Caenorhabditis elegans: one gene and its partner. The protein of the gene in region 1 interacts with the protein of each later gene in a pairwise test. Each region holds a gene or a part of one and is shown on either strand. Other genes may lie near its edges. The genes, in order: C02B8.6 and uev-2.

Region 1 (6,432 bases):
ATAACTTGATTAAAGCATTGGCTCAAAACTGTCGACTTTTCATGTGTCCCTGGCAATAGATGTTCAAGTCTGTGAAACTTTAAATTTGGGATGTTGGCTCTGTCCATTTTCTGCCACAGTTATCTTTAATTAGGCCCGTGTTCACTATTCAAAAAATAAATTGATATAAGATCAATATGAATAAATAAAAGAGCTTCTTTAGACATTAGCACAAAGTGCTTTGAAGTTTGAACTTATTCACATACTATTTTTATTCAAGTTTTATTGAAACAATTTTGCTACAAATACTACAAATAAGTAAAGTTAATGGAGTAGAAATGTAAACAAATGCGGTGATTAAATGGTTTTTGAGTAAAGCAGATAAATATTCCAAATAAAGTTACGAACATACTACTGGAATGTACAAAAAAGTTGAAAAGCGAAATGGGAGAGATGGGAAGAACATGCAATTATATTACTAAGTAACAATACGATATCAAGAACTAGATGTTGGTAAACCAGCATTAAAAACGTGTTGTGAGGAAGATGGGGGATCCGTAAAAAACCAGAAAAAGTTCAGATTATGGATAATAAATGTTTGAATGCAAGAGGAAAATACAGAAATATATGAATGAAGTAAGGTAGGTAACACTGTGGTCATGGTATGTTAATCATGCAAAAAAACAAAGCATTTTTACAAAGCATTAGACGAAGTAATGAAAAAGAAAAATGTTAAAAAAAAAACAATTAATATGGCCGAGGTGTTAAAGCTTGGCTGCATATTGATTGAGACATAGATTGTGAAATTTGATTGCACGGGATTGAGGCACTTTTTAATAAAAAGTAATAATGTGACAAGCAGAAATTACACGCAAAATGATAAGGAGTAAAGTTTTAGGTTTTTGACAAATTTTGGGAAGTCTAAAACTGAAACCAACAATTGTATTGAAAGAAATAGGTTTTGTCAATGGCGACGCAATCAGAAGAAAAAGAACAATGACAGTTGCAAAACAGTTAAAGGCGTTACTGTTAATCCACAGTCCAAACATTTGGAACATGGCACCCTGCAATTCCTTTGACATTGTGCATGTCGAACTCCGAAGATGTCACGCGCTTTATTTGCCTCCAAGCATCAAGATTGCCCTTTTGCCACTGTCGCATTGCCACGAAATCAAGTATGTACGGCTTTCCGAACAGGTACATTTCCATATTCGGCTTGTTGGCCAGAAACTCGTCTTCGATATCCTTCTCGCAACGTTGATCGAAACGCCACCAACCATCTCCTCTGCTGCTGTAAAGCCAAAAGAATTTGACTCGAGCAACATTGAAATTCGCCTGAACGTTGTATTGGGCTGCAGTAGGAACATCACTGCCTGCAGTGGGAGTTTGCATTCCCTGCTGTCCACCTACACTATTTTGCTCGTCGTCTCTGATATCCATTTTTATGTTTGTTGTTGGAAGTGGCAAGCCCATTTGCCCTGGAGGGAAAACTGTAAAATTAAATTTATATAAGCAACTGGAAGTTAAATATATATTATTCTTTTGGCGCCAGAAAAAATGCTCAGTGATGTAGTGTCACAGAGGCACCGTTAACTAAACCGATCGCGGTATATTTCGGAGGGATATTTGGTAAAATTGTCTCTTAAAAAAAACGAAAAACGGAAACCCTCAAGGTTGCAAATTGCGCTTCTATTAGTCGACATTACAATGTTTACGGAACAATCTACCTGGCACGAGGTTAGCTCAAACACAGTGAATAAAAAATGTTTACTAGATTTATATGACTATCGTCTAAATATTAAATGAAACAACTTTTTACAAAATTAAATTTACCGTTATATTGTGTATTGCCCAGAAATTGATTATTTCCAGCGAATACAGGGTTGGCGGCTTGTTGAACGTCTCCCCAATTTCTTGCAGCATTATTCCAGAATGGTGGAAACTGATTTCCCCAATACCCAAGTGTATAAGGAAAATCAGAATGCGCCTGGAACTGTGGCCATCCAAACTGATTTACCATTCCTTGACTAGTGGTCGGCACTTGATAGTTGCCTTGGGCATTATGAACTAAAACATTGTTTTAAACTTGAGGTAATATCATTGTGCAGTCTGTTGTCAAAACAAACTGGTTTAATGAAAAACTCTGCATAATATTATGCTGTCTTGCTCTAATTGCAAAGCGTGAGGTTTTCAAAGAGCTTAGCAAAAAAAATTTTAGCAAGGAAATTGTTGAAAGCTGACCTACTGAGTACAAAATATCCAGGTACCGTATTTCCTCTATTAGTAAGGCATGCGTAGCTAATTTTCGAACACCTATTTAGATGCAAAACTAAGAGTTATCGCTCAAGTTCTTACTCAAGGTTTCCACTAAGTTATGGCACAATGTCATCAGTTTCAATAGCAGAAACTGGACCAAAAGGACAAATCTCACGACTAATACACAAAAATTATCCGACTTGTATACATATCTTTCCAATTTTGACTTGTTACACCGAGTCTTTAAGAGGTTTCCTAATTTGTAGAACAACTTTGTAATGCAAACTATAGTGGAAAAATAAATTGGTGCACAACTATTAAAAGTGCCAAACTAATAGAGGCGCCTTACTTATAGAGGAAATACGGTAGTTTAAATCAATACTATAACTTTGTACGAAAATATATCAGTATCTTGAAGCTTCCTAGTGCTAAGCAGCTGGAACATTCTAAGGGATCAGCTAGAAGCTTCTGCATTTGGCTTCAGGAAACAGGTGTCACCACTTCTTTGTAAAACAACTTAGCCATGGAAATTTTCAAGTTTAAAAAAATATTACAGTTTCCATTGTTGTTCATATGAGGTGCTGCAGCCACGAGTTCTCTGTTTCCGTTTTGGTTTGCGTTCATTGCCGCTGGAAATTGTTATTTTAGTAATGCGCTTGACTAAAAAAAGGCACCTCTTAACAAGTTGACATCAGGCTTCACGTCGATTTCCTCGTCCTGAACCTCTTCTTCGTCGTCGTCAACTGAAACCTTGTTTTATTCTAGAAGAAAGACTAATAAAAGGTACATATAACTTTTGTTAGTTTTTTGGTTTAGCTTCTGGATGTCTAGGAAATTAGTATTCAGAAAAAAATTGAATGTTTTTTTTTCCTATTTTACACTCTTGTACTTTCCATTTCTTAATGAGAAAGTGTTTCTGATTATCTGAATTATTTTACAGATGAATCTTTTCATATCATATCCAAACAAAATCTTACCATCTCTTGGTGCATCGCCTTTCAAGCAAACTTGAGCGCTCAAATTTAGAATTATGGAGCTATCAAATGGTCTTCGGCAGACGGCACAGTTGAGCATATCATTTTGAATAGAGCCTTTGATGCAAATGTAGCAAAACTCGTGATTGCAATCAAGCCGCACTGGCCTGTTCGGCGTGTTATGGCAGATTGTGCAAATGTCGGTCATTATACACCTGAAATCGATTATATTTCACTGCATTTATAAAAAGTGAGAAAAGGGTTTAAAAGTAACACTTAGCAAAAAAAAAAGTTTCGCAATAAAAGGCTTAGACAATCATTATCAAAGTTTTATCAGTAGCAATTGCATGCAATTGTATTTTTTCAATGTGTACTGTACGAATATTTTTTTTTTTAAACTGATAAACATATTGTGTTAAATCACAATTCATTTCTTCTAAAATTTGCTTAGAAATTGTTGATAAAATGATATTGAAAACATGCAAATGTGCTAATGTCTGCAATGTGTCGTCAAATACATTGTGCACGTACTATCGATATGCAACAAGAGTGACCCCGAAGAGACAAATGCATATTCACTCTGTTGAGCGAGAGAGAAGAGGAGACACAGGAATCATTGCTGAGTGATGGAAAGCAAATAGGAATGTGGAGTCTAAAGACATCGAACGTATGTACAGAGTGGTAGGGTGTCAGACAAATTTTTCACACTTGATAGTCAGGAATCGATACAAATTCACTTTCTAGAAAGTTGTGACGTCACCCTCATTTTATAAAGAACTTTGAAGACTTCTGCGCAGTTTTATGCTAACGATTAAATCTGAAAATTTCCAGAAGTCTAATTTCAAAATGTTGATGTATCGAAAATAACTTGTACTTTTCTTGATATCTTGTTCCGCACTAATGCTTCGATTATTTTGGTGTTTTTAAATAAGAAAAAAGCAATGCAACGTCACCGTGATGCTCTCGTTGCTTGACGACCAAGTCAAACAATAGTTTTCGTAGGCTTCTATGAAGCGAATCTGTTCGAGCTAATCAAATCTGATTTTGTGCACTTTGGAATGACGATATTGTAGAATTACCGAGTTCAGCGCCGTAAGAATCTATTTAACCTTTTAAATTGAACTGAAACTCTTCTATCTCCAAGCAGCTTCTTTGAATCTGAAAATTTCAGAATAAAAACTGCGGTAACGGTTCACATTTTTATTCAGATTTTTTTATAGCCTTATTGAAACAAATTTTGTTAAAATTGTAAAAATATTGAAGGAAACATAGTATTAATTGAACGACAATAAAGAAAAATTGAGAGACTGAAGATGTTCGGAACATTCTGGAAGTACATCAAAAGAAAGGGAATTGGACGACACGGACTAGGGGGATCGGAGAACCGAAAACACGTGTTAGAAACCAACAGATGGAATTGAGGTCATATTAAAATCCAGGAAATCCGTCAACGTCTTTGGTAAATTGCAACCGTCTCTTTTGCACAAACATGCATGCTCACTTGAGATGGATGATTAGCTTTGTGGAACTGGAAGGCTTGAAATGAGTGTCTCATAGAAACACTTTTAAAATATGTTGATGTTGTCGGCGCTGGCTATCTGAACTTCGTTTACACGGTACTATAGCTTTCTGGGGATGGCACGTAGCTACTAACTTGGTACACGAGGTCACTCATTGTATAGCCCTTGGAAAGGTCGTCGGAGTCAATGGGCTCCCAGCAACGTATGAGCTTGGTGAGTTGATCTTGGGCATCTTGGACAGCGTTCATGGCGGTTGGACGGGAACCGAAGGCAGATGCCAAGACGAGAGAAGATATTAGGATTTTTCTCAAAATCTAAGAAGGGGTCACTCGCTGTATAGCCCTTGGAAAGGTTGTCGGAGTCAATAATCGGCATTTATCTGCAGATTCTTGCACAAGTTCAGCCCTAATAAATTTATTGAATGGAACATTATCAAGGCTTCCTATGCCTGCTTTTCAAAACACACGCTGGTCAAATGCAGATTCGTTATTTCATGACTTTCGAAATGATTAATTTTGTTTTGTGAGCACCATGCTTATTAATTTAGAAATTCAGATAAAACAGTAATATGCTTTGACGTTTCTTCATATTTTTTAAATCACGTAAAAATAGGCTACTAAATTGCAGTATTTAATTTTCTCTCAAAACGAAAAAAAGCCACTTATGAGGTTACTTAGAAAAGCTTCAGAAACATTAATAACTAAGCTTATCAACGCATGTTATTTCTATTCTCAGTCTTTCAATTGCAAAAGGTTTTTAGGGATTAATTAGGTAAAGTTTAAAAAATCTAATGAAAAGAAGATTTGATTTTTTGAATTTCGGTTAACATTTCTCAGATTTTCGTTAGATAAAAAAGGGGCACATTAAGATTTTTTCATTGAAGCTAAATTATCACAAATGGGAAGTTTGTTTGAAACTATTAACATTGTGCGAAATTGATAAAATATATGAGTGTGTACATATTTTATGAAACGCGTTAATTAACAAAATATGTGCATCAATAATTTTTGAAATGAATGTAAGATTGAGTTTGTCTCAATATAATGCACCACAACACTTCATGCTTATTGTGTAGTTCATCGTAAGGTCTCGTACACAACTCGTATCACTTAAAATGGCAAAAATGGGTACTGCAAAAAAGGACACTGTTTTCTGGGAGAAAATTAATCATAGTTTTTAAAAAGATTCAGAATGTTTCTCGTTTAACCAACATAACACATATCATTCATCCTATACTACACCACTTTGGAAAATTCGTTTTGAAAATAATGAGTTTCTAGATGTTAGTACAATTCAAATGTTCCCCCGAAATTGGATTCTTTCCTTTAACTATCAAACTAACTCTATAAATTTTGTATCAAATAGTTTCTTAAACTTAATATAGTGACGTATTAGCCCAAAAACATCTGAGCTCATCCAAAGCTGTCTCGACTTCTGTTCAGCCAAAAACTAATGCATTAGAAATTGGCTTCGACTGTGTACACATGAACGCTTGATTATATATTAGATATGTAACATTTTTTTTGGATACTGACATAACAAGTGATAATTTTCTCAAATTTTTTCCAGATTCTGTTGCGTGTCAGTCACGGAGTGGCAACGTCAGAGCCAGGTACACACTGTAACCGGTTTTGTGCCATGTACACTTCGAAAGTGGGCGGGATGTTTCATTTCATATGATGCTCATCCCTGCAATCCTCCTC
Region 2 (6,364 bases), on another chromosome or scaffold:
AGACGACATATCGCGGGTAGCCCATCTATGTCATTCAATAACGAACCAGCAAAATGTCGGCTGCAGTTAAATTTAGCAGAGGACACCTTACGTGTCTGAGATGTCGGCTCATAATGGTGCTTTTTATTTGATTCTCGCTACTCACCAAATCAATTATTGTCTGGTAGCACATAAAAAGCACCTCCATCATCTGGTTTTCCTCGCAAATCTTTGCCAACTCGGTTTCACAAGATGTCATTTGTTCCTGATTCATCCAATAACTTTCCAGTTCAAGTTTTGGTGATGATACGGTGGGATAATCATTTGGAAGATGGAATTTTAGTCGAATTGGAGGAAGAATGTCAAGAGGAAGATGAAATTGATCGCCGGAGTCAGATGTTCCTTCAATTGTGACTGTTGGATCGTATAAGTTGTCAAATCCGACCTGAAATTGCACTTGACTATTCTAAAACTCATTTAAAAAAACCAACTAACCAACTTTCAACCGTAACTTAGTGACTCTTCTAAAAAATACTTTACTCCATATATGGCCATATTAGTTTATCTCGTACAGGAAAATAGTCAACCGTGGCCAAAATTTCGGGCTAATGATTATGGAGGCTATTGAAATTTTCTATACTTTGTTACCTTAAATATTTTTGATAACTTACATAATTACGTAGAAAGTGTAGCTAAAATATAGTAAGGGTAGTTTCAGATAAATAATTTTTTGTTGTTATTTAGTGGACATTAAATTACTTTTTTAAAAGTTAAAATACCCCAGCTTCTCTCAAAAAACCAAAATCTTTACCTCAATAATTCCCTGGATTTCAGCATTCTTATCACTCCAATCACTGGATTTCGCCAGTTTCTTCTCTCTTAGAACACTTTCCAATGCTTCCAATTCATATATTTGCAGGTCACGATCAGTCATTTTTTATCGATTTTTAGACAAGAGACGCAGAGATTCAATAGACGGAGTTTAGGTAATTTAGAAATGAATGTTCAGGAATTTATAGAAAATATTTTACATTATTAGTCAAAAATGTTCAAACAATATATGAGGAAAGTTTGCGGAACAAAAATCAAAATTAATTACTAAAATATTGCGAAATATTGCAAAATTGTAATGAGTAAAATTGCGCAATGTGATAGATAACCTGTTGTGGAAACGATGAGAAATACAATTTGAAACTTTAAATTTAGAGTATTATCAGTGAGAAATTGTTCAACTTAAATTGTGTTTTTCTCTACGTGATGTGTACTTTAATTGCGTTTCAATTGTTTGTATTTAAACAATCGAAGAGTTCAAATTTGCAGCAATGCTTGAAATTGCCCCCAAAAGTTCAATTTTTCAATTTGCCAAACCTTTCACTAAAATTTTTGAAAAATGTATCTATCCATGTACCTTATTCTTCAGGAATTGATAAAATCTATCGATTCATAAAAAACTAAAGCTATTCCAACAGAATAGAAAAACACAATGTTCAAAAATGAAAGAATATTAAAATCATGTGAAAAGGGAAAACTTCCAGAAAGTCGACTCTTCTCGTTTACTGCGTTTTGTGAATATCTGAAAACTTTGTACGGATTTGTTACCATTTCTTCAATAGGCCGTGTATCATTCTGTCAATTTTTGGTGGATAGGTAAAATGTAACAGCCAATTTGATTTCTGAAAAGTTTTCGAAACATTTTTAAATATATTTAAAACATTTATTTAGGTCATACAAGTCCCGATATTCGAATATGAAACTACATCCAATCACTGAAGTGCACCATTGTCCAGCCTTTCCATTTGTTCTGCAAATTAAAATTTATCTACAAATCTATTCTGGTGATTGCGGCTGGATAAAATTTTAGTCCAACTCCCTGATTACCTCGTATTTTATCTTGAAAATAGTCGTTTTTTTGGACAAAAGGGGCGTGTTGGGGTAATATCTGACATTAATCTGAATGACTCCATACTCGTAGCGAACTCGTTCAATTATTCCGGTCGGATAAGATTCAAAAGATTTGATGATTCCCTGTGCCGCTTCAATCATGCCACTGACAGCTGAAAATAACTAAATTTCAAAATTGTTTCTGATATCGTACTTACGAAGCATATCATCCGGAGCAAAAAGATCCACTACTGCAACTGGGTCCCCTGATTTGATAGCTGCCTGGAACTTTTCGAAGAACTCCTTCGGTACGTTGGCATATTCTTCGGGGACTGGATCCAATGAAAAGACAATAGAAGCACTTGAAAGAGCTAGAAGAAAAATTGGAAGACGCATATTTTGGTTTGGCTACATGGCGAACTGAGCATTTTTATAGTTCGAAATGCTAATTCAATTAGAATGTGAAAATTGTCAATCAATGCGGAGGTTGATGTTTGGTGTCGTATTGATGATCATGATCATTTTGGGCATTTTGAAGACACCACATGGGTTCTGCCGCGTACGGTATCCGGTCTCGTCATGATAAATTTTAGCTGAATGAAAAAGCGTGTGCAGTGTGTGGCAGAGGAGTTGCGTCATTCCACGTTTAAAAGTGTGCCCAACATCAGATATACCTTTAATCCTCCAACCCGTCGGAATCAAGTAGCTCACACACACACACACACATACATAATCTGAGAGCACGTGTAGTTTTTGTTACATGCTCAATTCTAAAACAGAGGGCGCGAGAGAGAAAGAGGCCATCTCTAGGACAACGTACTAATGATAGAGAGACGGCATCCGCTTCTGTGTGATTATGTAGCTCTTTTTCTCTCGTACCTGCCTCTTCTTCAACTTGTGATATTATCCCACGTATTCATACTCTCTTCTTCACTTTTTGTTTGAAGCTTCTGGTTGCCTTAGGCCTCGTGGGATAATATGCAACGTTTTGTGCGCTTTAAGAATATATTCACTGTAGCTTTTTCAAATAAGATCCAGCTTAGGTTCAGTTAACGCGGCTCCGGAAGCTTCGTCACGAATTGGATTACTTTGACTTTCCAGATTAGAGCTTAAGCTTTCAGAAACATGCGAAGACGTAGCAACAGACAATATGTTGATCTCTCATATTTTCGCGAAACTGCCGATGCGCTATTATTCGACGTTGAAACCAATTCACGCGAATTCACCAATGAAATCAACACTGTGAAGGAGGAGAAAGCCAAGTGGGATGAGGTAAGCTTTCACACAAAGTTTAACTCGCCTGCCTACCTGGGACCTAGGCCTGATTTATGCCTACTTCAAAAGTGGGCGTGGCATGTGTCGAAATAACTTTTTTTCAGAGAACACCGCAAGGGTATACGGCAAAGCCAATTAGTTTTGAGGGCGCAGACATATGGTGTTCTTGGATATGTACAGTACCTGGACCGAGAGGAAGCCCCTGGGAGGGAGGGGAATATGAGGTTTAATTACTTTTTAGTTCGCAAAAGTATATTATCTCCAGGTTTCCGTGAACTTTCACAAATGGCCTATAATTCCGCCAATTTGTGAATTCAAAACGCCGCTTCATCATCCGAACGTGGACCTCAGAGGTTGGTTAGAACTGTTTCGAAAAAATATGTTTGAGTGTGAAATACAGAAAACGGTAGCAAAAAGAAACGCATTATTACAAAAATCTTTACAGGATCAATTTATCTTAAAATGCTGGAACAAGAGCACTGGTCTTCTGAAACTTCACTCAAGAAACTTCTGAGGGAAATCAGCAATCTACTTGCAACGCCCGATCTTACTCAAGCTGCAAATATTGAAGCCTGGATGGAATATGAGAATCAGCGGTTAGATATATTTTAACGGCGCACAGCTGCAAATGTGAACAAACTCGGCCACCTATTCTTCTAGGCCACTTCGATTTGGAGCTAAGCGTCGTTGAACAGAGAAAAGAGAACACTTAACTTTTAAAATTATCTTGTTCCAGTGAAAATTACGAGGCTAAAGCTCGAGCTTATGCTTGGACAGTTAACCCGAACGCCGTGGGATACATGGAAGTATCCGAGAATTCCGGAATTCAGAGGGAGACAGCAAAGGCTAAGTTGGCAGTGCAAAATGGTGCCATGGAATCGGACGAGGATGATGACGATCTACCAATTGACATCGAAAACTAATATTACACAAATTTTTATATTTTTGGTATTGGCCAACGTTTTCTGTTGAAGACCTTTTCCACTTTCTCAAAACTTTCTTGCCGACACTCTATGGAATTTTTCAGATTTTTCTCCAAAAAGGTGCCAATTTTCTATACACATTTATTTAAATCCCAATGCCCCTTTTTTGCAGCAAACTTACCTGACCTATGTGATAATTTTTCCCATTTTCCCTACTTTCCCGATCACACCAATTTTTCATTCTCTTTCCAAAACCATGTCTTTTTACGAAAAAAGTGATTATTGTACCAAATAAAGCTATTCCAAACTCGTTGAGTCGGGGTGTCCTCCCATTATCTCTTAATGAAATGGCAGAACAAGAATAAATCTACGTAGTCAACATTTGTAGGCAGGGAGGTATGCTTGACTAAGCTCCAGTCTACTAAGGATTTAAAAAACTCGGCCACCGATTTCTTGTTCTCGGCCACGTTGCAATGAACCGCAATGCCCTTCAAAAAGAGGTGATACTCGTGATTGCACGTCATTACCTCATCCCCAATGTCTATATTTACTTCTCCCGCACACCTTGTCAGATATCTGCACTGTTCATGGTGTGCTCATCGCCTCGCGGAGAGAGCTCTAACCCAAAAGTTTTAAACGTAAAAAGCCGGAAACGGTATAGGTTTATCGGTTCACCGAGAGCGCGCCTAGATCGTGTGGTACCGCCCCTCCTCGCCTCCCGTCAAAGGTCTCTATTTACTCCCAAACAGTGTGCTCTCGGAGCCTCCCGATCCCCCTCGCTGACCATTGTCCACTCCACTCGACCGTGCACAGTTGACTCCTTTTTTTGTACTAGTCGGTTGTTGGAAATGAAACGTATTCTTTTGATTTCTCTATTTTCGGCGGTTGTCAACGGCTTTTACTACAAGAGAACTTTATACGGAGATGCTAATGAGGGAGCTGCCATGCCAGACTATGTTAATGCTTATTATGTGAGTTTTCTTGGCTTGTAGGATTTTTAAGTGGCAGTTTCGGCAGAGATTTCACATCTAAAATATAGTTTTTGAGTTGTTTTGCAACAAGTCAGCCAAAAAATCGGTGGCCGAGTTTTTTGCTTTCCGCGGCCACGTAGCGAAAATCCCAAGGTTAATTATTACAAGGTCACAACCATTTCGGTATGTTGTGTAGATTTTTCTAATTGAAACTAGATCAGAACACAAACGCCTGCTTGCTTGCCTTCATTCACCTACGCTTGTATCAAGATTGTGCACATTGAAAGTAGGCGTGTAGACAGGCACGTAGGTACCAAGGACTGAAGATTTCATGAAAACAACACCAAACACCAGAGTCCAGCAAGAAAAAAAACCAAAAAATAATAGGCAAGCTTTCATGAAAACGAGTCTGCCTACCAAGCCTTATTGAAAATTCTGAACATTCATTTTCCAGGGTTTTCCAACAATCCCAACACAAGAGCCACGTCGGCGACCATCTTTCAACATGAATCCACCACAAGGATATTTTCATCGGGAGCATCCATTTGACTTTGGGCCATTTGGTTATATGAGAGCAAGGTAAGTTCCGGAATAGGTGGCCAAGTTTTATCTCCTCGCGGCCACTTAGTAAAAAACTGACCGTAGCGCCAGATTACAACGATAATCTATTCAAAACTCACTTTAGACGGTACCTTAGCAACAAATAATCTTGATTTTCCTTCAGAATTGGAGAAGCCAACTTCGGTGAGCCCATGGAGAAAACTGACCGCGAGCGAGCTATGGAACGGGCCAAACCGGGATTTTGGCGTCAAAACCAACGCGAAACCATGGATCGGATCAAGAAAATTATTGGAGAGCAGAGAATGAATATGGAGCAGAAGCAAATGCATATTCGAAGAGTTCTAGCAAATGAGAGTGATGAGATAAGGGTAAGAAGATAAATAATTTTTTCTCAACAAACACAAACATTTTTCAGTCCAAATTCGCTGATATTCACAAAAGACTGATCATGAAAAACAACAAGATGACCGTCTCCTCTCCAGTTCCAGAGCTTAGCAAACAGGCGAAGAAGCTTGAGAAAGAGGCCAAGAAAATTATGGAAAACAAGAAAATGAGTGTAGAGAAGAAGCAGGAGAAACTTGACAAACTTATGCTTAAGGCTCCAGAGAACGTTAAGAATGAGCTCAATGCTATGAACGATTCGGGGTGAGCATTGAGTTTTTCATGGTAGGCAAGACGCGCATGTAGGCAGGCGCAGGTTGCATGGGAGGCAGGAAGCAGGCGTTACATGGTATTCCTAAAAAGATTCCAATCCGTGTAACACTCTCGGAGAAT

Evidence for each region.
Region 2: the proteins of C02B8.6 (region 1) and uev-2 interact in a two-hybrid assay, tested with the Caenorhabditis elegans proteins (one study listed by BioGRID).

What each region holds. Positions count from the first base shown.
Region 1 is NC_003284.9:8,132,903-8,139,334, forward strand, and holds C02B8.6 (putative RING finger protein C02B8.6), read right to left. Parts: upstream 3,425-6,432; 5' UTR 3,418-3,424; coding exon 3,213-3,417; intron 2,979-3,212; coding exon 2,910-2,978; intron 2,865-2,909; coding exon 2,790-2,864; intron 2,047-2,789; coding exon 1,813-2,046; intron 1,470-1,812; coding exon 1,009-1,469; 3' UTR 230-1,008; downstream 1-229. Other genes in the region: C02B8.7 (uncharacterized protein), read right to left, coding at 4,819-4,977.
Region 2 is NC_003281.10:5,580,156-5,586,519, forward strand, and holds uev-2 (UBC core domain-containing protein), read left to right. Parts: upstream 1-2,969; 5' UTR 2,970-2,985; coding exon 2,986-3,132; intron 3,133-3,239; coding exon 3,240-3,359; intron 3,360-3,400; coding exon 3,401-3,488; intron 3,489-3,580; coding exon 3,581-3,731; intron 3,732-3,871; coding exon 3,872-4,058; 3' UTR 4,059-4,367; downstream 4,368-6,364. Other genes in the region: F56D2.5 (RBR-type E3 ubiquitin transferase), read right to left, coding at 146-424, 791-913; F56D2.8 (DUF4440 domain-containing protein), read right to left, coding at 1,733-1,780, 1,858-2,033, 2,079-2,256; F56D2.3 (DUF148 domain-containing protein), read left to right, coding at 4,907-5,029, 5,484-5,608, 5,754-5,958, 6,006-6,235.